Linked DNA regions of Tamandua tetradactyla. The protein of the gene in region 2 interacts with the protein of the main gene of each other region in a pairwise test. Links are inferred from orthologs where the notes say so. Each region holds a gene or a part of one and is shown on either strand. Other genes may lie near its edges. The genes, in order: ZMAT1, ALAS1 and TMSB10.

Region 1 (8,353 bases), on a different chromosome or scaffold from region 2:
CTACGTCTTCTGGAGTCCACGTAAATAATGGCTTCTCTCTTCATTCAGTGCCAGCTGATAATATACGGAAAAGTCCCCTGAGTATTACTTATACTCTAGCCACTCCAATTTTTTAAAGTATCTGATTCTTTATATTAAATATGTTCTCTTTGAAATACTGTGTTAGTTTGCAAGCTGCCAGAATGAGATATACCAGAACTGGAAAGGCTTTTAAAAGGGGGCAATTAATAAGTTACAACCTAACAGTTCTAAGCCTATGAAAAGTGTACAAATTAAGGCATCCGGGGAAAGATACTTTAATTCAAGGAATGTTAATGGGTCATGAACACCTCTATCAGCTGGGAAATCAGATGGCTGGCATCTGCTGGTCCCTTGCTCCTGGGCTCCATTATTTTCAGCCTCAGTTCCTGTGGGGGGTTGTCCTTCAGCTTCTATGGGGCTGGCTTTCACCTCTTGGCTTTCCTTGGCTCTCTACAGGTTCTGGCTTGTTTAACATCTCATGGTGACATCTGCTAGGCTCCAAGCGTCTCCAAACATCCGTGTCTCTGTTCTCTGAGTGTCAGCTTTGCTCTGAAGTTTCTGTCTGCTCTGTCGTTCCTGACTTTCTTGAAAATGTTTCTTCTTTTAAAGGATTCCAGTAAACTAATCAAGATACACCTAGAATGGGTGGAGGCATATCTCCACCTAATGTAAGATCACACTCACAATTGAGTGAGTCACAATTCCATGGAGATAATCTAATCAAAAGTTTCTGCCTAGGGCAATGGTAAATCAGTGGCAGAGTTCTCGCCTGCCATGCTGGAGATCCGGCCTGCTCATGTAAAAAAAAAAATTTCAGCCCTACAATATTGAATTAGGATTAAAAGAAAAGACTCTCCCACAAGATTGAATCATGATTAAAACCTGGATTTTTGGGGGTACATAATATTTTCAAACGGGCACAAATACCTAGTACACTTTCTCTTTTACTGACTGACCCTTGAGTGATACACACTCTCCCAGAGATCCTGCTGCAAGAGTCTTTATGTAAGTGGAGTATGTTTCATATTTTGAGAAACAATGCTGTTGAGGGATTCTCCTGCACCCCCAATACAGGAAGGAATAAAATTATATTCCTTTTTTATTCTTACCTTGCCCTATTGACTATTTCAGCAGAACATTTCTTGTGCCTGGTCCACCCAGTAGTTTATTTGATCAGTGAAAGTTGCACTAATTTACAGAAGGACAAGATGGAGATTAGAGAAACCACCAACTGCCTCAGTTAATATTGGGCATATTACTGAGCTACAAAAATAACATAAACATGTGTTCTTAAAAGCCCAACACTCCAAACCTCTGAGTTTTCTGTTCAGCTTCAGCCAATTATTACCATTCAGAAATGCAAGCTCCGACCATAATGCAAAATCTTCAGAATTTTTTAAGAGTTTTTTTTTTTTTTTGCATCATATGCCCCTTTCTAAAGTTGACAAGAAAGTAAATAATTGTTTTGTGGGCTGGATGTAGCTTAGGGACCACTGGTGTGCTGCACTGTGCTGGAGCATGAGGAATCAATCAAAAGGAAACCTCTGCTTTGTCTCAAAACATCCCTAGGTTATTGAGGAGAGAGGTACAAAGTACAATTCATTACAATACTAACATGAACAAGATATAGTTGTAGCACAGAGGACGGTGGGATTAACAATAAGCAAGGACATAACAGGATACCCTGAAGAGGTGCTGCCTGCACTTCAAAGGGTGTGTAGGAGTTCGTTAGGCTGGTACCTAATGTGGGAGAAAATTGTAGGAAGAAGAAACATTTACGATAACATTAAGGCATGAAATAGATGGTATTCAGAGGAAAATTTAAGAAAATTTCATGTGTTGAGTCATAAAGTAAAAACAGACTCAAGAGATGGGAGCAGTGAGAGAGATGAGCTTAAGGAAGTGGGGGGAATGCTATTAGTGCCAAATTGTGTCAATGACTTTATCCAACAAGCAATGGAGACAGTGATGAACAGCAGCAACATGGGAATAGATCATAGTGATTGAAACCAGAGAAAGAGTGACTGGTGGTGCAGATGTCATAATTCTGACAAGAGATGATGAGGACTTGAAGTAAGAATGGAAGTGAGACCAGAAAGGACAGAATACCCAAATGAAATTTTTATACAGGTGTACCAGGAAAATGTCCATCAACAAGGAAATGGACAGGATATTGTAGAGCCTTGACAATGAATGAACTACAGCTATATGGCAAAAAAAGCATTAATCTTAGAAACAAAAGGTGGAGCAAAAGAAACAAGTCACAGTATGCTACCTAGAAAAAGATAGATGTTTTTGTAAAATTTGAAAACAAAGCTAAACAACATTGTTTAGGTGTACACATATCTCGTAAGTATACATGTAAAAAGTGCAAGGAAATAAACATAAATCAGGATACTGGGATCTTCCTGGGACAGCAATGGTAAGAAAATTTAAATTATCAGTAACATTCTAGTTTTGTTGGGTACTGGATTCAGAAGTGTTTATTGTATCATAGATGGGTAAAGTGATAGATAAGCAATCCTTTATGGACAAATGATGGCAATGTATCATGAACCTAGGGGTCTACCTAACTGTATGCTATGTGTCCAAGCTATAAGAGGAAACAATATTTTAGGAATATTTTGGAGGTGGAATCAATAGGTTTCTTGAGGTTTTATTTTTTCTTAAATTCGTTTTAGATTAACTCCTACAAGGGAACAGGCCTCACTTTATGAGGCCCACGTGCTTTAACATCCCGCGCTTTTTACCCTTTGCCCTTGGCCATCTTCGCTTCCCCTCCAAAGGGACGCAGGGTGACGCCAAGAGTGGGGGAGGGGAAGAAGGCGGCTTGTGTGTCTAAAGCTTTCCGATTGGTGGACAGAAGGAGCGAGACCAAGGCTAGAGCTAAGAAAAAAGGGGCGAAAGGGGCGGGGCTAAATAGAAGGCGGGGCTAAGGGAACTGAACCGGAGCGAGGCGCCAGTGCAATTGTCCGCCCTCGCTGCGATGGCGGCGGCGCCGAACACGGTCACCCCGCTGGCGACAGGGTCTTCCCCTCAGGAAGCTACCGTCTCTGCCGCCTCCTCCTCCTCCTACACCGCCTCCGCGGCGGCGGCGGCGGCGGCGGTGGCAGCAGTTGTGCCTGCCTCCTCCGCCACCTCCACCCCTGCCTGCCCGCCTGCCAGTGGCTGTGGCGACGGCAGCGGTTTTGGCGGCTCCACTATGGCGGCGGCGGGGAGGGGGGGCAGTAGTTTTAAAGTAGACACCCACCCTTGCCTCAGAGAAGGTGAGTTCACGTCCTGGGGTGCGGGCGCGGCCCCATCCACGTCGCTGCCTCTTTGCAGTTGGTCCGAGATTGGGCTGGGCGCGGTTTGCCACTGCCCCACCCCCCACCTGCTGTGGCGCAGTAAAGGCCAAGCTCGCCCCGCCCCGCCCCATAAACCCCGAGTGTGTAAGATGGACTGAAGCATAGGGGGGCTTCCTTACCTCTATCCCCCGCAAACGATGGGGGCCCCAGGAAAAGGAGCTGCAGGTATTCACAAGACAGGAGTTGAAGGGAGAGAATAATACCACAGAATTTCTCTCAGTCACGACGCCTTAGTATGTTAAAGGAAGCTGAGGGAGTGATTTGGATTAAGAGAGGAGCCAAGGTAAAAGTGTGGTGGGTCAGGGAAAGGGAAAAGGGCTGATGTAGGAAGGACAGAGGAAAGGTAAAAAAGCCGAAGAAACAGGAGGGAGGAAACCTCTTCCTGGTGAAATTCAACATCTTGCAGGGTAGCGATCTGCAGTAGATATTTTAAGGAGATACGGGGTTAGGAATTTGGGGAGGTTAAAGTGTATACTTGAGCTTTGAAGTAAGATCTCTTGAAGTTCAGGATCTTAGGGTCCGGTGGAGAGAGCTCAAATGTAGAAAGGAGGAAGAGTGTGGCAGAAGCACACATTTCAGGAATCACTGAAAGTTTTCCTAGGCTGTTTGAGAGTGTGTCCTTGTAAAGCAAGGTTCACAGGCCCATCTTTAAGGTGGTGTGGGTTTTAATAAGTGCTGTTTTACCTACCACCACACATTACTCCTAACATAAAAAAGCTATTTATTGACTATCTCAATGGTTGTGTTTAGTTTACACAAAGTACTATATAATTGGAAACAGCCTACTAATAGCAAGTTGTAAATTATACCACTAAAATGTGTTTTAAAGTAGTTTTTGAAATGCTTATTAGGTGATGGAAGCATTCTGCCATCGTAAATTTCATCCTTAATTTCCAGTATTTGCTGTTTTACCTTGTTGCTACTTGCCTAAAAAGTCAGACCATGGACCCCCGAATGGGGTAGAATAATTTAAGTTCCTTTTTCTTAGAGGGATACCTCATTAAAATAATCCATAAAAATAATTTTCTCTTCACATTCTTAGATTTATCTTTGTGTGTTATTCCATGAGCTTTCATGCCTTTCACTTTGGAGGAATGGCAAAGCAGTAAAAACAAGCCCTTACAATAATGTAATAGGCACAATACATAAATCCCACTTACTAAAAATGGAGGTTAGAAATACACTGTAATATGTTTTATTAACTCTCCTACTGAAGACAGCCTTTGAAAGACTCTAGTTTCTTCTGTCAGATTGCTGATCTGGATTTGTACTATTGCTCTGGGATAAAGCCATGAAATCTGGAATATTGCTGATCTGTAACGAGCAGGTATGCCAGAGCAGTCCTGTAGGTGTCAAGACCATAATTCAAGTTGGTTCTCATGGCCTTTTCATAGTGAGGTTTAGGAGTAGTATCTCATGGGAAAAAAATGGCATTTTTTCCTGACTGCAGCTGGTTTGGTTGCAATTATCTCTCAATATATGCAAATATTACAGGCTTTGTAAACTCGTAAAGTAGCAGAAAAATGCCATCTATAGTATCAATAGGTGGGAAAATGAGGAGAGCACTGGAGTAGGAGTTGAATGCATCAAACGGAGGTTCTGTGGCTAATATGGTAACCATTAGAATGTGTGAACCTGAACATATCTCAAGATTCCTGCATTTGTGTTTGAAATTTTTGAAATAGAGGAACTGGACTAGCTAAACTGGGTGGTGGATTTCAAACCTGAGAGTATGAACCATAACTTAGAAATTCTGAGTTCTCTCTATGGCATTTCCATGGCTGTGCGCTAGAATATTATTAATTCACAGACCTCAAGAAACCTTGGCTGACATTCAGTGAGTAATGAAATTTGTGTTGAGACAATTCGCTAGCACTTCATAAAATATAATTTACTAAAAAATTATATCATTTCATTTTAGGTAAATATCCTTCATTAACTGTTGAGTCCAAATCAAAATCTCTCTTACTTATTCACTTGATAAATGGTAAATGTTTTATATATTGCACTGTCCAAAACACTGCCAGTCCTCAAAATATTTTTGTTTGGATATTTGTAAAGTAGTTGGTAGCTGTGATAGTAGATAAAGGAAAAGAGGAAAATGTTGCTTGGTGATTTCTCAATATATTTTGCTTACTTTTTTTTAATTCTTAGTTAGAGATTGCTCTAAAATGGGTCAGAATTGTCAAAATTCCAGTTACTGAAAGTCCACTCCTGATAGGATCATGCAAAGTTGTTTGAAAAAGCATTTGCTGATCCATTTTCAGCTGTAGGTTACACTACTGAGGATCTGTCATCTGACCTACGCTTGATAATGAGCAAACTTCAGTAGAGTTTAAAATTTGTTAAACAGGAAAGAATAGAAACTCTCAAAGGTTACAAATAGAAACTTGAGCAATAAACTCAAAAACAAAAGCAAACTAAAGAAATGTCCACATGAAAAGACACACACATCCAGAATTCATGGTAAGGGAAGTCATGAGATTTTGTAGAACACTGTAATTCATTCAGTGACGATTTTCAAAACTATTTAATGGCTCAAAAATGAATTTTTGCCCAGTAATCATCATCTGGTGTAATCATAGTAGAAATCAAAGCAAAAATAAGTAAGAATCCTCTTGCTTATTTACCTCTTATAATTGAGGAAAAAAATTATTAAATGGTTTCTCTTTTTCAGTGGAGGGCATTTCTGCCTTTTTATGTAATCATTCCTCCATTTGCATAGGAATTTCCTAGTAATACTTTCGCTTGTTTCCCTATTATTATATAATGTTTTACATCAATGGCAATAAGCCCATCATAAGAAAACCTAGTTAATAGCATTTCTTTCATTTATTCAGGAATAATTTATTGAGCACCTGTATATGTATGTGCCAAGCCTTTTGCTCAGTGCTGAGGATATACAGACAAATTAGACACAGCCTTAGTAAGATTATAAAATAGATGGGGAAAATGCAGTTTTAAATGTTAAGACTAGGTAAACTTCTGAACTATCTAGAATGTCCCATCTGTTATAACTCTGTTCTCAGCTCATGGCATCTTAATACTACAGGCACATTAAAGCACAACATATTGTGAATCTCATGTTGATATCTGGGAAGAATAACTAGCAAACTATTAGAACTGATTTTAATTGTATGCATCTGGCAGGTGGGGGGATGTCCGGAGAGAGATTAATGATCATTTATTAGTCTCTCCCATACTCTGTTTTCAGTAAGTGTCAATAGGTGAAAATATTGACTAAAATTGTTAAAAAAAAAAAAAAACCCAACCTAAGCATGTCCCCTACTAAATTCATCATACATCTGTTAGGATAGGAACTTTGATTCTTTCCGCCTTAAAACTGGCCTTGCCAGTCCATTCATACTTATTAACATGTTGAAGGAATGGCAGGTATTTGGCGGCTTTCTGATACAAAGTAGCTGTGAGAGGATCCAGTAGATTAATGGATTTACAGAGAGCCTTAATTCTTAAATTCTAAAGTTTCAAGTATACCTGGAGCTCACTAGCCACAGAATGCTTATGATAATGAAGGTGGAGGACTTAGTTTAAATAAAGACAAATATTAAACATATAACTATTATGCCCAATTGGTTGTTTCATTAATTCCATTGCATTTTTTAGTTGTTGATATGCCATAGGAAACCCATCATTATTTTTTTGATAATGGTATTAGTGTAAAATTTCTAAACCTTGCCAGGCTTCTCATATAGGACAGGTACTGATCTCATAACCTGAAAAAGTAAAGACATTAGCTAACATTTTAGCTATGTGTTCATAGTGCTGAAGGGTACAAATCTGCATTTCTAGCATAATTAAGATCTCAGAAAACTCTGTAAATGGGCTGCGACTTTTAGAGAAGAGAGTTAAAACCTTTGGCAAGGTTATCAGCATGAAGCAGTTTCCTAATCTCTTGTAATTTAGTGCTGTGCTCTGCTCATTCTTTCCTAAGATTATGATGGTATTAAAAGATTGCAAAGGTCGAGTCAACTTTTTCTCCCCCCAAATTTCTTTTTAACCAAGAATGTTTGAGGGAGATTTTCTCTAAAGGTGTGATCAGGGAGAACATGTACATATGCTCTTTGCACAATTGAAATGATAATTACTCAAATTCCTTAATGTCTAAGTCTGTGACTAGAGAGTGAGATGTTTGTTTGCTGTATTGCAGCTAACCTTTCTGAGATTATCTCCACTCTTGTCCTTTATTAAAATAAAATATACAGAGTTTTTCTTACAATGCATCAAAATCAGTTGGACTGTGAAATTCCCACTTTAGGAAGGCATTTAAAACAGCTAATAATACGTTCTTGCCATAAAGAATTTATGATGGATTGTCTTGAGGAATTTTGGGGTTTTGTACATAAGTTTAATTGTCATTTAACAAATGCAAGTAAGATACATTTTATTAAATGTAGCTAGTTATATCTAAAGTTGAGCCACCTAATTTGAATAAGCTTGAACTTCTTATCAGGGTAACCAAACAACATTCAATTGGAGTAAACAGAGAGATAAACTTCTCTTACCTCAAACTGAAGAAATGTGTTAATTTTCTGGTTACTTTCCTCAAAGATCTAGTACAATCTTTGATTCCATAAACTGGAGTCAACCAAATTGTAGGCACAGATGCATTATTCTTTTCGGAGTAAGTCCATAAATGTTTTCCATTTGCCACAAAAATCTAATTCATCCTAATTTGCTCGTGTTATCTAGTGCTATTAATTAGGAGAAAGTTTCAAATATGCTAATTTGGCTTTCATACTGAATTGCATTTTTGGATGCAGAACTTAATTGTATTTTAATTTAGCATAATAGTACAGCTGTTTGGAGCAGGCCCATTCTAACAAAAGTTGCTAGAAATTGAATTTTTGTCAAGTGAATCCTCTTTGCTTTTTATGTAATTGAAGACATAATTTTGCTACAAGCTGAATGGAATATTTTTGTACCGACATAGAGGATTGTAGTAATGCCCAGGCCCATTGAATGTG
Region 2 (8,353 bases):
CCTACCCAGGGCCAGGGTGATAAGGCAGGTTTATATTGCAGTTCTGAGGCTGAATGCAAGGTGAGAGGGAAAAAGGAGGGAAGAAAAGAGGAAGGGAAGAGGGAAGGCCGGAGAAGGGGGAAGGGTAGGGAGGAAGGAAAGGGCCCCACCCAGGCTCTCCATTGAGGCAGACAGGATAACTCCTACTTCACAGATGCAAAATCTGGGGCTAAGGGCATGGTGTAATTTGCCAAGATCACAGAATCATAAGATGGCAGAGCCAAGATTAGAACTCATGGCTTTAGCCTTTGCCCTTCCAGGTCTCAAACTGGAAACCACTCAGGTAGCATGTCCCCAAAATGTGACCCCCGACAGGCTCATCCTACACTTGCTTCACCAAGAAGGAGGCCTGGTTAAAATACAGATTTCTGGGATAGAATCAAAAGGGGTGGCTAAAATAATCTGCATTTTAAGCTGTGCCCTTGTAGTAGTTTTTTGAGCTGACACTGGGAAGACCCGTGGTTGTCTTGTTTTCAGCTTTTCCTTTTTTACCTCCTGGCTCCATATCCTGGCTGCACCCTCGGAGCGGAGCGCAGCCGTTGGGACTGACTCATGCTGCCCCCACCCCACCCCCACCCCAGGCCTGGGCCCTCCCCATTCAAGGCTTCGCTCACTAGACTCCATGTCTCATGTAGACTCAGCCTTCCAACCAGTACCTGCTTCTCCTCTGGGAGCCTGCTTGGTGGTCGGGAAACCCCTCCTTCAGAGCCTGTTGGAGTAACACCCTACTCCTCCATCTGGAATTGTTTAGATCATTCTATTTCACTTTCTTTGTGAGCTGACTTATTTCCCAACCTTTCCCTTTATTAAACAGGAAACTCCCAGAGGGCTGGAGACTTGTTGGTTTAACAATGAGCCTCTGAAATCCATGACTTCACCTAACCCTCTTGCCAACCACAAGTGGCAGGACTGGGAGAGCTTTACAAATGAGGAAACCAAGACTCTGGGAGATTGTGGCCTGCCCATGGCTACAGTCATGTAAGATTTAGAGCCAGGCTTGGAATATGTGTCCTGCTCCACTGTCCGGTTCTTTCTGCTTCTGCTTTGCCTCTGATCACCCAAACAGTTCTGTGAGGCAGGCATAACAAAGTCATCATTCTATTGCCCAGACAAGGAAAGTGAGGCCCAGATATGGGCAAAGCACTCAAGGCCATCCTTGACCTGTTCCTACTTCTATCTGCACTTGGATTTGAGTCCAGGCACTGACTTTTACTGTTTTTTCTCTCCCTCCTCTGTGGCCACTGGGCACAGCCTAGGGCCCCTCAGCAGGACAGGGCAGGCTGGGCCTTAAACTCCCAAGCCAAAGCTCTCATTCTAAGCCCCTGGACTGGTCCCAGTGCTGTTCTGGACCCAGGTGCCTCCTCTGCAGCTGGAGGCTCGCCTCACCTGTCTTACAGCTAGCTATAGGCTAAGTGAAGGAGCTGGGAAGTACCTGGACTAACTTTGGTTACCACAGCTCTGGATTTCACTCCTCTTATCAGTGCCCAGATGGAGAGAGATCAACCTGGATGGCTCCTTTCCAAGAGTGGGGGAGGGTAGCTCTGAGCCTGGCACAAGCCCAACCCAGCCTAACTGACGCCAGAAGAGATATGGAGCAAGGAAACCAGGTTGACATTCCTGAGGGGGGTTTGCCAAGCCCTTCCCCCGCAGGCGTGGTCTAGGGGAGACTTGGAGGAGGCACAGCCCAACTCTGAACTCTGAGATGGAGTGTTGAGCCACTCAGCTGGTGCCCAGGGTGGTCAGCAAGGGATTTTGGGCAGTCCCCAATTGAACATAAAAGTAACATATCTAATATATGTCAAACTCTAACTCTGTCAGGCCCTGTGATCCCGCCCCCTTCCCATAAGTACTGAGTTACAGCTGTGGAGTGGATGGGTTCTATCTAGTCTTGTTTCTTCTGTCCCTTCTCTGCTCATGACTTAAGTCCCTTCATCTCATACCAGAGAGTGCCACGGCTTGACCTTTCTTTCTGTTCCTTCCTCCTCACTCCAAAGTCTTCACCCACGTACCAACTCCCTCCCCATCCCGGCCCAGAGCACCACTCCATCCTTGGCCATTCCAGTGCCACCTCCTTCAGGAAGTCTTCTTTCACAGCCCTGCTATTAAGTCCCAGGTGGGGCAGATCCTACTTAAGACCCTGGACTGGACCCCCTTTTGCGCCTCCTCCCTCCATGCCCAAAGTACCCATTTTAACAGTTCTCTAATCCCCAGTTGACTCCAGGGGCACTTCCCCTCAGGCCCGTGGCATTTTATGCCCCACAACAGGGACGTAGGGTTTTGAAGTACAGGGGAGTCAGTGGAGAGCGGTAAGGGGGTGCAAGGTGAAGTTCGAGAAACAGATTCCAACCAGGAAGGCTAGGATGGAAAGCCTCAACTCCCTCGGCCCCCGCCGAGCCCCTGTCGCCACCGCCTCCAAGACCAGCCTCCCCGCCCATCGCGTCGGGCCTCTTACCTCCGGAAACTCCACGCCGAGCGCCTGCGCAGAGAATCCGCGCCCAAGGCGCATGCGCAGCGGTCATTCCCGCTCTATATTAGGGCGACCGCCCTCCGGCCTGAGGCTTCTCGCTGACAAGGGCAAATCTTTGGCTGCGTTTCTTGGCTTGGGTCCCTGCCGCCGCAGTCACCGCCGCCGCCGCCGCCGCAGCAACCACCTCCACAGTTACCCGTGCAGGTAAAGGCCCGGCTTCTGGGAGCGAGGTCGGCCGGGGACAGCCTCCGAGTGTCCTGCCGGCCCGGGCTCCGATTCCCCGGCTATTGGAACCCCATCCCCCCACCCGCCGCCTCGGGCTCAGCCTTCATCCCCCAGACCTCCTGCCGCCTCAGTTCCCCCAATAGACCCCTCGGGCATTTCCATTTAACCGGCTTCTTTAGAATTCATTTCTTACCCCCCTTCCGTCTCCTACCGTTATTCTTAAGCCCACGACCCGGGGTAAATAGCCCGCAGCCCCCTGGGACCGCTTCCAAGCGCCAGACCTAGCACACTGGGTTTACAGCTCCTGCCCCTCCCTAGTTAGCCCTATCGGCGCGTCTCCGCTAACCCCTACTCTTCTTTGTGCGCCCTTTTATTCAATTCCCTGTTCATCAAGCTATAGGAATATGAGCTCGGAAAAATCCTTGCCTCACAGCCCCAGGGTTGTCCATGGTGTCTTCCTCCGATTTAGGGCTGTGAGGACCTGGAAAGTTTCGAGATCTTTAAGAATCCATACCTTCTTGCCTCCGCCGAGCCTCCCTTACGTGGATGGACTACAGTGGCTCCTTCCCTAGACAAAGTTTTCCACCTTGGTGTGTGCCAAGGTGTCTTCTCTGCACTGGGCATCTCCTTCAAGGAGCTTCTCTGTTCCCAAACCAGTTCCTGCTTATCCTGCATCCTCCCACCCCCTTGGTTATTAATTGTCAGTATCAATTTGTTAGGTTGCGATGAAGGTGCTTTTGTAGAGAGCTGGAGAATGCAGAAGTTAGTGGCCTGGGTAGAATGTGGTCACCAGCGCATGGATAAGTCCCAATCAGTGCTATCCTTAGACAGTTTTGAGCCAGACTTGTTAGTATCCCAGGGTACCTTGCCAAGAGCTGCAGGTGAGCTGACCCCCAGTGACCTTGCAGTGGGATTTGCCTAATTATTAACAAGTGTTGATGCCACTTATCATCATTCTTTCTCCAGGAGTCAGTGTACCTCTCGGACATGGAGACTGTTGTTCGTCGCTGCCCATTTCTGTCCCGAGTGCCCCAGACCTTTCTGCAGAAGGCAGGCAAATCTCTGTTGTTCTATGCCCAAAACTGCCCTAAGATGATGGAAGTTGGAGCTAAGCCAGCCTCTCGGGCTTTGTCCACTTCAACAGTATGCTGCCAGCAGGTCGAAGAAACCCCTCCAGCCAACAAGAGTAAGTGTCATTTTGGCAGCCGAGTTGGGGGTGGTGGTGTTTTCACACATACTTGACTAGAAGCAGTTACATTCCACACTGTTGGTGAGGTTCACAATAACAGAGGAGTTACACTGTCCAAGCTCAGTGCTTTGTGTGGATTATTTCTTGTAATTGTCGTCCTAACCTCACAAGGTAGTCATTTTTAGCTTTCCCATCTATAAAGGTGAAACTTTGCCCAGCTTTCTAGGTTAGCAGAATTCTGAATCACTTATCTCAGTGTCTTTTGGAGTTTCAGTAATATTTAAAATGATATCTATCTTTATTTTGTATATAATTTTTTTTTGTTTTGTTTTAATAAAAAGATCAGTCTGTCTTGCATGGAGAAGCTGAACCTATTTATAGTTATACCTAAGAGTCACCCCCAGAGAACCTCTTATGTTGGTCAGATGTGGCCTCTCTCGCTAAGCCAACTCAGCAGGTGAACTCACTGCTCTCATCCCTCGTGGGATATGACTCCCAGGAGTATAAAGCTCCCTGGGAGTGTGGAACAGGACTCCTGGGATGAGCTGGGCCCCGGCATCATGGGATTGAGAAAGCCTTCTTGACCAAAAGGGGGAAGAGAGAAATGAGACAAAATAAAGTCTCAGTGGCTGAGAGATTTCAGAGTCAAGAGGTTATCCTGGAGGTTATTCTTACGCAATATGTAAATATCCCTTTTTAGTTTATGGTGTATTGGAGTGGCTGGAGGGAAGTACCTGAAATTGTTGAGCTGTGTTCCAGTAATCTTGATCCTTGAAAAAAATTGTATAATGGTACAGCTTTTGCAATGTGATTGTGAAATTCTTGTGTGTGATGTGCCTTTTATTCAGGATATGGGGAGATGAATAAAAAAATGTGGATAAAAATTAAAAATATGAGGGCAGATAAGGGTAAAAAATTGGGTAGATTGAAATACCTAGTGGTCAATGAGAGGGAGGGGTAAGGGGTAAGGGGTATGGACTGTATTTCTTTTTCTGGAGTGATGCAAGTGTTCTAAAAGTGATCATAGTGATGAATACACAACTATGAGATGATATTGTGAGCCATGGATTGTACACCATGTTTGGACTGTATGTGTGTGAAAATTTCTCAATAAATATAAAAAAATAAAGAGATCAGTCTGGCTCTACCAGGAGGGGATTGAGGCTTTTCAGATTTCACTTAATCCTCAAGAATATCTTACTTTACAGGCTTCTCTTAGGTGTGTTCTCTGGGTGTGGACTTGTGAGAATTATTTTTTTCCTTTAAGTAGAAAGGTAATAGTTGTAGGATTTATTTCCCTCTGTACTATCGCTCAGGAGTTATGTCTTTTTTACCGAACAATCAAAATCCTCTTACCATTCTGTCCCTAGTAGTGGAGAGGACTAATTGAGTAAAATGTGGCTTGTTCTATTGAAAGACTACTATGCAACCAACATAAATGATATTCACAAACTATTTACTAGCTTAGGCAGGTCTATATAATGAAAAGGGTGGAATAAGTATATAAAGTACAAGTAAAAACTGTCTTTAAAATCCGTACATATATTTTTAAAAACATGATATACTAAAATGTTTGTTTTGATTATGTTTAAATGATAAGACTCTTCTTTAGTCTTTCTATAATATGTATTATGTTTATAATGGGGGGAAGGGAACTTCAAAGTAATTTTTTTTTTGGCTTTCCTTTATAGAAGATTTTAATGAATACCATACTGAGATACCTTTCCCAAGTTGTAGGAAAGGCTAGCCTCGGATTCACAGGACTATTCCAGAATTGATGATGAAATACTTTTCTAGAAAGTGAACTAATTTGCTCAAAGGGACAAGGAAGTCGTGACTAGAAGCATAGTTACCAGCTGACTGTTAAGTCAGTGGACTTCTTTGATGCATTAGATGAAAAAGTAGATGAGGTGTGTAAATGTGATTCTTCCATTGTTTTTTTCCCAAGTATACTAATAATTTAATTGTTGTCTATTAGACAGCAATCTAAAGAATTTAGTTGTAGTTTCATTTAGAAGAATAACATTAGTTTACATGTTAAGCAACGTTAGGCTTCTTTGTCAAGAATCTTTAGAAAATATTAGCAGAGATAAGTTTGCATGAATATTACCAGTTACCTTGGAGAGTTTGTCCACTTATGTTTCTCATGAAATATGCTATGAATTTACTGGAATTCTTCAATTCAAGAACTTTGGGTTGTCTAGAACTAGAAAATGTTACTTTTTGGATTTATAAGTGAGAAATACTGTAGATTTGAAAGGTAGCTGAAATGTACCACTTAACTCTTCATAAGAGCATTGTTTCCATTGAGGCAGATGAGAAAATAATTTGATTAACAGAACCTAATAAAAATAAACTTGTACTTGGATTGGGGTAGAGTAAGTATAAACTTTATCTTTAAAGCTATAAGAGAAGCAAGTGGTTTTTTGTGTGCTGTGCAACCAGAACTGATGGTTCACTTTTTCTTGTTCCCCACTCAGAGGACAAAACTGCCAAAGCTGAGGTTCAGCAGGCTCCTGATGGATCCCAGCAGACTCCACATGGGACACAGCTTCTATCTGGACATCCTTCCTCTGCCACAAGCCAGGGTACTGCAAGCAAATGCCCTTTCCTGGCAGCCCAGATGAGTCAGCGGAGCAGCAGTGTCTTCCGCAAAGCCAGTTTAGAGCTTCAAGAGGATGTGCAGGAAATGCATGCCGTGAGAAAAGGTAAACAGATAAGAAACGAACCATTAGGAAAAATGAAGAAGTCCGTTTAGCTCTTTGGACCCTCAGGTTTGTATATTAGCTGTTATTAGGCAATGTTTGTGTAAACACCTTCCTCTTTTAAAGCCAAGGAGAAAGGTCCTCAAAATGGACAGTCAGACTGTGTTGCAAAATGTGGGACTTTCTTTCTGGTGTGTAGGAGGTGACCAGCTTTTAAAGTAGCCATTTAATTTCTGAAATACTCTGTAGTTGAGAACTGCTGTTAATTGCCCTTTGTTTCTTTCCCATCATCTGATGGGATAAAAGGTAAAAAAAAAAAAAAAAAAAAGCAGTTGTGTTACTGCATTAAGTGCTGATCTTTGGATGCCCAAGCTGTGTGTCTTACTCATGGTCATTGAATGGCAACCTTAATTCCAGTTGTGGCTGTGTCCCACAGAGCCCCTAAGGCCCCCAAAAAGCTTCATCAGTAGAAACTATGCATATGGCCAAACTTATATTTTCGGTGAAGAAAATTGAGATTAGGGTTTCAGGGACAGAGTGGGGTGAAGAATGCATGCTGACTGACAAGAAAGCTTTGGACTTTAATGTTCATTAAACCTGGCTGGCAGCTCTGAAAACAAAACGGCACCAAACATGGGCCATTACAATAATGAAAATAGAAGAGAAGTTTTATACACTTAGTTACAATTAACTTTGGTTTTAATCGACTTTTTTGTGACCTAGACAGGAAGTTATTTTGTAACAACGTTTGGAAAGTATTATGAACTCACTGTATAATGTTGGTCTCATTTGCCTCTTGTTGCTTTTGTTAAAGAAGTTGCCCAAACCTCTGTCAACCCCAGTGTGATTACCATGAAAACTGAGGGAGGGGAACCAAGTGGATTGCTGCAGAATTTTCAGGATATCATGCGAAAGCAAAGACCGGAGAGAGTGTCCCATCTTCTTCAAGATAACTTGCCAAAATGTAAGTCTCATTGTTAATTGTCTAATGCAGGAGAGAGTTTGTGGTTTAAAATGTAGATCAGATTAAAACATAGAATTGCATGATGGGTTGAGGAGTGAAAGCCATGTCTCTTGTTTGATGTGAGTAGGTGCTCTTGGTCGTAATGACTACAAATCCTGTTTATAGCTTTTTCTCTTTTCTCACCTAATATCCACACCCCAGGTGCTGTGCTAAACACTTTCCTGCACAGGTTCAGCTACTCTTCACAAGTGGAGATCATAGAGTAATTTGCCTAGAATTTCCTTGCTACTCACTAGCCAAGCTGGGATATCAACCTTATCTTTCACTGAAGCCCAAATGTGTTAACCATTGGGCTGTTTTGTCTTTTGTTTGATTTTCAGCTGTTTCCACTTTTCAGTATGATCGTTTCTTTGAGAAGAAAATTGATGAGAAAAAAAATGACCATACTTACCGAGTTTTTAAAACTGTGAACCGGAGGGCACACATTTTCCCCATGGCGGATGACTACTCTGACTCCCTTGTCACCAAAAAGCAGGTGTCGGTTTGGTGTAGCAATGACTACCTAGGAATGAGTCGCCACCCACGGGTGTGTGGGGCAGTCATGTAAGTAGCTCTCCAGCTTTCTGACACCACTGGCATTATTTGGCACAAACATCAGTGTTTTATAGGGATTGACTCTTTTATAGGGGGAATGTTTGGTAGCTGAAAGTGTGTGCAGGCCCATTGCTGTTTAGGTAAGAGTAAGTGATGAAAACTTAATTTTT
Region 3 (7,016 bases), on a different chromosome or scaffold from region 2:
AGTCTCCTGTTTCCTAGTGCAAGAGCTGAACAATAAACAAAGAAATGAATGTATAACATGCCTGTTAGAGATATATTCTAAGAATAAAAATGAAACAAGGAGAAGGGTTTGGTTAATGGACCAAGAGGCTCCATATCTATCCTTATCAGCTTCCCCTCATTACATTTCGTCCATTTCTCCACTGGATTCAGCTTGCTCTGGGGCTTATGAGTTGTATCCTCCCCAATGCCAACAGATGAGATTCTGTCTACATCCCCATTCAAGTTCCTGATGAAAAGCATCACATCGGGCAGGTCTGAGAGACAGAGACCCACAGTAAACCCCCAGAGGCCCTCCCCACCCAGCTGGACAGTCACGGAGCCTCCCTTATTAGCGCTACATTGTCCAGAGTATCCTTCTCAAGAGAGAAGATGGAAATGTAACTGGAGTTGAGTGGCTCAGCCTTCTTTGTGCCATCTGCGAGCAGTATACAATCTGTTCTCGGTAGTAGGCCAAGACGGTGTCAGACAGAAATGCCACCCCACGTCATGAGTAAACACAACCACAGGCATGACAGTTACCAACTGACGCAGAGTCATTTGTCTGCGACTCGAGACTCACGGGCTCCCCTCCACTCTCGGCATCCTCTCAAAGCAGGCCACAGGGCCTCCGATAAATATGAGCGTTATGTAAGATACAGAGGACCTGAGACCTGGCACCACGAGGCTATGATTTTTCCATCACATAGTGTTGCCATTATCTGATGTTGTGTGACAAAATGCCCAACACGTAGTGCCTTAAAACAACCACCACATTTATTTTGTCCATGAGTGTGCTATTTGGGCAGGGACAGTTTCTTGACTTCCTTTGGCAACAGTGGGGCACTTTGAAGCTCCAGAAGCTGGCTCCCTTGCATGACTCTGGTGGATGCTAGCTGCTGGCTCTGATCTCAACTGAGGCTGTGGCTGGAACACCCGGATGTACCCTTTCCTGCATGGAGGCATGCTGCAAGAGAAAGCCAGGCAGAAGCTGCATGGCCGTTACGACCTACCCTCCTAAGTCATGAAGCATCATTTCTGCCTCATTTCATTCCCTAAAGATGAAGGCAAAGTCTATATTAACAGATGATGGGAGGAGGGTCAAGGACCTGTGCAGGAGTTTTAAACTTCTACCCATAGGACATATAGATTTGACTGGCATTCTTAAGCAATAAGTGCCAAATAGGCTGCCCACTTTCGGAGAGATGGACCACAGGCTGTGTTGAGGGAAAAATGAGGAATAATTTCAACACCAGTTAAAGCTCCTCTGTGTGGGAATCCTGCATACTTGCTACATTTGAAACATGTTTCTCCATCACTGCATTTAAAAGAACGATTCTGTTTTCCAAATAAAGGGAAGCTGGAATTGGAGTTCACCGTGAGTCCATGAGATTTCTGCCCCAAGAATAATAAGTTTATTGTTCAGTGTAACTGAAGGACCATCCCAAATCACTCGACATTCAGGAAGATTGAATATTCCTCCTGGGGCCAAAGGTGAGGGCCAGGAAGGAAATGCCTAAAAAATGCATGACACTGCATCCCAACGGCAATCAAGTGCCAATGAAATCCTCCAAAAAGTCTCTAGGTGTCCTGATATTTTCATGTTCAAGTTTGGCAGATCCTTCAACGGATACAGCAGTCTCTTCCCAGTTCACCCAATCTCCACTTTTTTTTCTCCTAGACACACAACTAGACTACATTTCCCACCCACCTTTGAAGTTAGGTTAGACCAGGTGACTGAGTCCTGGCCAAAGTCAAGGGCAGAAGAGATGGAAACCACGTCCAAGCCTGGACCAAGAAAATCCCAGGAGTTCTCCACCCTCTCCTCTTTCCCCATCCACTGACTGGGTAGAGTGGACTTCAAGGACCTAGAAAAGGACAAAGTCAAAGACAGGAGGGTCCTGGGTACCCGAATTGCCAGATGGATTCCAGGATTCCAGCACAGATGTGGATGCACAAGCGGGAAGTACACTTTTTTTGCATTAAGCCACTTTGGGGCTGTTTATTACTGTTGTTTGCCTACCCTGGCTGTGAAATTGAATCACTGTTCAGGAAATAATCACTTCCCTCCCCCTCCCACCATGGAGGCAATATTTTTCTCCACCCCTTTGATGTTGGGCTTGGCTATATCACCTGCTTTGGTCAATAGAATGTCAGCTAGCAAAGCCTAAATTGTGTTTACACACACAACAACAACTTCTACCCTCTTGGCCTGAAGCTATCCTGCTGTTCTCCCATCACCCTGAGAGGAACGTGCCCCAGCTACCCCCTGGTCCAAAGGCGATGAGAGACTGTGGAGTGGACCTGGGACCAACCACAAGCTGGGAACCAAGCCCAGTCTAATGCAGGCCAGCACCAGATGACCTGCAGATGTATGACAAGAAAAGGTGGTTATTGCCTTAAGCCACTGAGTTTGGGGGTAGTTTGTTGCACAGCATTTTTTGGTAGCAGTAGTTGACCAATACACAAAGTGGGGGTGTGACATTCTGACAGGGCTGCCTAGCTTAACTTACACTTGATGCCTATTGTTCATTTCATTCAGGTTTTACGCCAACCCTATTCTCCAGATGAAGAAACTGCATGGGGAGAAAGGACTTGACCAAGGCACACAAGGAGTTGGCTGTGCCAAACTGATAAGCCTAAGCTTTTCTCCCACTGTTACAAACGCGGACATATGTGAGAAAAGCAAATAAAATCAGGAAAGGAATGTACAGAATTTAGAATGTTTACACCGAATCCCCTTTAACTGAGCTTGGTAATAGGCCTTCCTATTTGAAAACTGAAAGTTCAGGACAAAGAAATAATGTGACCAGCTTCACCCAATAGGTTGTTAGTTTCTGGAACTTATAACTTAAAGATGGTGCACAGGCTAAAAATTTTTCTAAGAAAGATTTTAATAATTGCAAAATACCATTCCTACAAGTGGTTAATAAGAAAAGCAAGAACGTTTAAAGGGATATGGGTCTCCAGCATCTTTAGGGTTAACTTCAAGAGGGAAAATAGCACCCTCTGACACAATGTTCCTAGTAGCCCTGGGAGTAAAAGAACACCAGGAGCTCTCGATACTTCGCATTCCGCCCACTTCCCTCAGACAATGCTTGTGGCAAGCACTCACGGGGCACAACCCCGGTTCCTGCAGGATAGGGGGACGACCCCAAGAGGGCATTTAGCCTCCCAACGTGAGAAAACAGCACTGGGCATTTATCAGTATACCCCCTCTTTGCTGTGGGGACCCTCGGCTTGGGCTCTGAGAGCTGGTGAGTGTAAACCAGCAGAGGCCAGGGACCCGGGGAATGGCACAGGGGTGGGGTGTCTCCTGCCAGCGGGGATTGCTGCAGAGAGCGCGTGTACACCCGAACACTCGCAACTACACACACGCACACACACGCCCTTTTTGTGCGGTGAGCAGCAGATTCCTGGAAAGGGTGGGTGCAGCCCCCAAAGGAAGCCCGGGGGCCTTGGCTAGAGGGGCGCCAGCAGCCTTCAGGCCCTCGGGCGAAAGGAGGCCGCGCCCCACCTCCCGGGAGCCCCACGCGCCCCCGCCCCTCGGGTGCCAGCACCGCCCCCGCTGCGGCGGGCGCGGGGCGGGGCGCGCGCGGCCTATATAAGGCGTGGGGCGGGCGCCACTCTTTTGTCTCCGGCTGCAGCAGTGCAAGTGGTAGCACCGGGAGTCCCGGCTGGAGCTAGGTGCTGCGGTGAGCGGTGCGCGGGGGCAGGGGCTCCACCCGGGTGGGGCCGGGTCACCCGGCGGGCGTCCCCCTTCCGACAGGACCCAGAGGGTTGGCTGGCACCCGGAGTGGGGGGTGGGGGTGGGATGCGCCCACGCTCGCGGCCCTGGAGCTTCGGGCAACGCCCCGGCGGAAGCGCCACGTCTGGAGGCGCCGAGCCAACCGCCGGGGTGTGCCCGCCAGGATCTTTTGGAGAAAATGGCAGACAAGCCGGACATGGGGGAAATCGCCAGCTTCGATAAGGCCAAACTGAAGAAGACGGAGACGCAGGAGAAGAACACCCTGCCGACCAAAGAGAGTGAGTGTCTGCCCGCCTCCCGCTGCACGAGCCCGCAGTACCCCCCCCCCCACCCCGGCCCGCCCTTCCTCGGCCCCCGCCCTGCCCAGGTGTCCTTCCTCTCCCACAAAGCGGCCTAAGCTTCTCTCTTAACCTCATGGGTGTCTCGCCCACCCCAGATTTGTAAGCGGCGTGGTGAGGGAATGGAGGGTGCCGGGTGTTCCCATCCCCCCTCCATGCACGCTTCCGGCTCTCCCCAGCCATCGAGCAGGAGAAGCAGAGTGAAATCTCCTAGAGCCGAGAGGAGCCCCCACCCCCGTCATCTCCGAGGCCCCAGTGGCGAGGTGGCGGAAGAGCCACCTGCAAAGCTGGACGCGAGATGGACGCGAGCGACAAGCTGCACTGTGAACCCGGGCACGCCCCGCCGACGCCACCGGCCGGGGGGGTCTCTCGGAGGACCCCCCAATCGGACTGCCAAATTCTCCGGTTTGCCCTGGGATGTTACGGAAAATTATGTGTGTGATTGGTGAAAATAAAAGACACCTCGTGGCGTGGCTGGCGTAGTCCGAATCGCTTCGTTGAGCATACCGGGGGCGCGCGGCTGCAGCAGAACTCCAGGCGCTGGAGTCGAGGTTCCTGCCGCAGGGGGGGAGGGGCACGCGAATGGGGGGCCCTGGGGGGTGGTAGTTCTTCAGTTTGGACTCTACCTGCATTTCCAGAAGATTTCGCGGGATATTAGCTGCCTAGCTCGTGCTGGTAATGCCGTCCCGTATAAACTTTCACCTCACTCTAATTCTTGGAAGTCGCACTGAAAAATGCGTTTTCAAAGGAGCAGAATTCGTTTCTGCTAAGCTTTACAGTCGTACTGCTTCTCTCCGGGTTCCTCCTAGCGCTGATGGACACCAGGAGAAGACAAGTCATTTAAAGTCTAGGAAAAAAAGGGCGGGGGAGACTATCTAGAATGGCCACCAGTTCTCCAACAGGCCTTTTCTTGGAGCTGGGAAGCGGTGGCATCAGAACAAAAACAAAGACGGGATCTGGGGAAGCCGCAGCGCAGAAATAAGAATTCGAACCCTGGGGACAGGCTCGCTTTTTGTCTCAAGCCTAGCTCGAAACCTTAAGCAAAAACAGTGGGAGTGCCGGGCGGAGCAGAAATCTCCCCCTCCCCCTCCCCGTTACGTCCCCAAGACCCAGGGGAAAAGGGAGGGACCAGCCAAGGGGGCCTAGGGAAGGTCCGGCCTGGGGGCCTTAAGGGCAGAAAGAACAGACCTGTGACTCCAGGGGTGGGGTTTCCTTTCAGGACGGGGGAGAGGAGGGCAGTTGCCGGCCCACTAAATGGCCGGGAGCGACTGTGGGTGATAGGAATGCGATTCGAGCCAGTCCACAAGGAACTACAAATCCAGTGGGTGAGACAACCACAGCAGACCAAAATTGGGAACATAGGGCGAGGGGGCCACTGCTGGTTTGCCTAAAGTGACTGGACAGCAAGATCCGCACTGTGGAGAGAGGCTGGGTCTGGGGAGGGGGAGTGAGGAACACTAACATTCCAGGGCCCAGAGCTGCCAGGCTAGGAACTTTAACTCAGCAGCACAATTAGGTAGGGTGATTCACCCCATTTTACAAATGGGGGAAACTGAGGCTTCAGGCAGTGAAGGGAGTCCATGAGTAGGAGCCAGGGTTGAGGGTTAAGCGTGCGCTCTGAGGGATGCTACGACCCCCCTGTCTGCGGGGTCATTTCATGAGTGCCCCACCAAGGTGCACGTCGTAGAAGATCCTCCTGAGAGGTTAAATTTTTAAAAAGAGGAAGATATCACTTCTGCTTTCAAACAGTAATGAGAGTATGGCTGCTGGTGAAACAGGTCTTGGAGAAAAATACAGCTGGTTAGGGCGTCAGTGCCCAAGTATGTGAGGGATAGGTAGCGCAATTGCAGTTTTGAATCGGGCGGTCAGGGAGGACCCCTGGAAGAAAAGGCCTTTGAGCAAAGACCCGAAGGATGCAGGAGAGGACTCTTGGCGCCCGGGAGCACTGGGTGGAGCGGGTTGCTGGCCGCAGGAGCGGCTAGTGCAAAAGCCTCGAACTGAGAAGGCGTCTGAGGTGTGTGAAGAAGACCCAGGAGCCCTCCGGCAGGAGTGGCGCGAGCACGGGGCTGGGAGGCGAGGTGTGGGAGGGCAGGCGACGGCGGAAGCAGAGCTGGAGACTAGGGCAGGGCTCAGGACTGAAGGGCTCCTCCTCGCGCCCCCCCAGGGACACTCGGGCCCTGCCTGGGCTCGCCACGCCCAACGCCTCTTCCAGCTCCCGCCTCCTGCCCGGGACTGCGTCTGGGGCTCAAATAGCAGCCGGTCTTCCCGCGTATCCCCGCAATCTCCTCTGGGGGCCCCCCGACCCGCGCTTGTCCGGGAGAGCAGCCACAGAGCCCTGCTTCCGGGCCCCCGCTTCCTTTCACGCCGTTCTCAGGCCCTCCCCAGGAAATCCGCCATCTGAGGTGCTGGGGTGCCGAGGAGAGCCCTGCCCTTCCTACGAATCTAAGACAAGAATGAGGAGACTGCCGACTGTCTGTCTTGCTTTCCCACTCTCGAGGCTGGCCGAAGGGGGGCAGGGCACAGGAGGAAGGCGGCAGCGGAAGGGCGTGTCTACCACACAACCCTTCTCTCACTACCGCGGGTTTACGCGGGAACGCCGGCCGCCCACCCTACTCGGGTCGCTCCGGAGCGCACAAGCGACCAGCCCAGAGCCCCAGTGTCAAAGACAGGAAGGGCCCCGCCCAAGGAACTGCGCATGCGCGGAGGGGCCAGCCTGCCGAAACCCCGCCTCCTTCCGGGTGATTGATCCGGCGCGCAAGGGAATCTCAGAAGGCTTCGTGATGGAGGCGGCCGCAGTACGTTAGCTCCGGTGTCAGAGAGCATCGAGTCATCCCAGTCCCACTCCTTCCTACCCATTATCCTGCCGCGTCCACATTGGGAGAAGTATACAAAATGACTAATGTATGCCCTTTT

What was found.
Region 1: the proteins of ALAS1 (region 2) and ZMAT1 interact in a two-hybrid assay, tested with the Homo sapiens proteins (2 studies listed by BioGRID). The two-hybrid records come from large-scale screens. The link is inferred for Tamandua tetradactyla from reciprocal best matches to the Homo sapiens genes ALAS1 and ZMAT1.
Region 3: the proteins of ALAS1 (region 2) and TMSB10 interact in binary tests that used the Homo sapiens proteins (3 or more experiments, as listed by UniProt). The two-hybrid records come from large-scale screens. The link is inferred for Tamandua tetradactyla from reciprocal best matches to the Homo sapiens genes ALAS1 and TMSB10.

Annotation. Positions count from the first base shown.
Region 1 is NC_135353.1:71,473,547-71,481,899, forward strand, and holds the start of ZMAT1 (zinc finger matrin-type protein 1), read left to right. Parts: upstream 1-2,963; 5' UTR 2,964-3,007; coding exon 3,008-3,287; intron 3,288-8,353.
Region 2 is NC_135341.1:33,666,992-33,675,344, reverse strand, and holds the start of ALAS1 (5-aminolevulinate synthase, non-specific, mitochondrial), read left to right. Parts: upstream 1-2,597; 5' UTR 2,598-2,710; intron 2,711-3,686; exon of another isoform or gene 3,687-3,697; 5' UTR 3,698-3,718; coding exon 3,719-3,917; intron 3,918-6,400; coding exon 6,401-6,628; intron 6,629-7,439; coding exon 7,440-7,589; intron 7,590-7,969; coding exon 7,970-8,192; intron 8,193-8,353.
Region 3 is NC_135343.1:59,132,999-59,140,014, forward strand, and holds TMSB10 (thymosin beta-10), read left to right. Parts: upstream 1-3,616; 5' UTR 3,617-3,712; exon of another isoform or gene 3,713-3,719; intron 3,720-3,928; 5' UTR 3,929-3,943; coding exon 3,944-4,043; intron 4,044-4,282; coding exon 4,283-4,317; 3' UTR 4,318-4,578; downstream 4,579-7,016. UniProt on the Homo sapiens protein: Plays an important role in the organization of the cytoskeleton. Binds to and sequesters actin monomers (G actin) and therefore inhibits actin polymerization.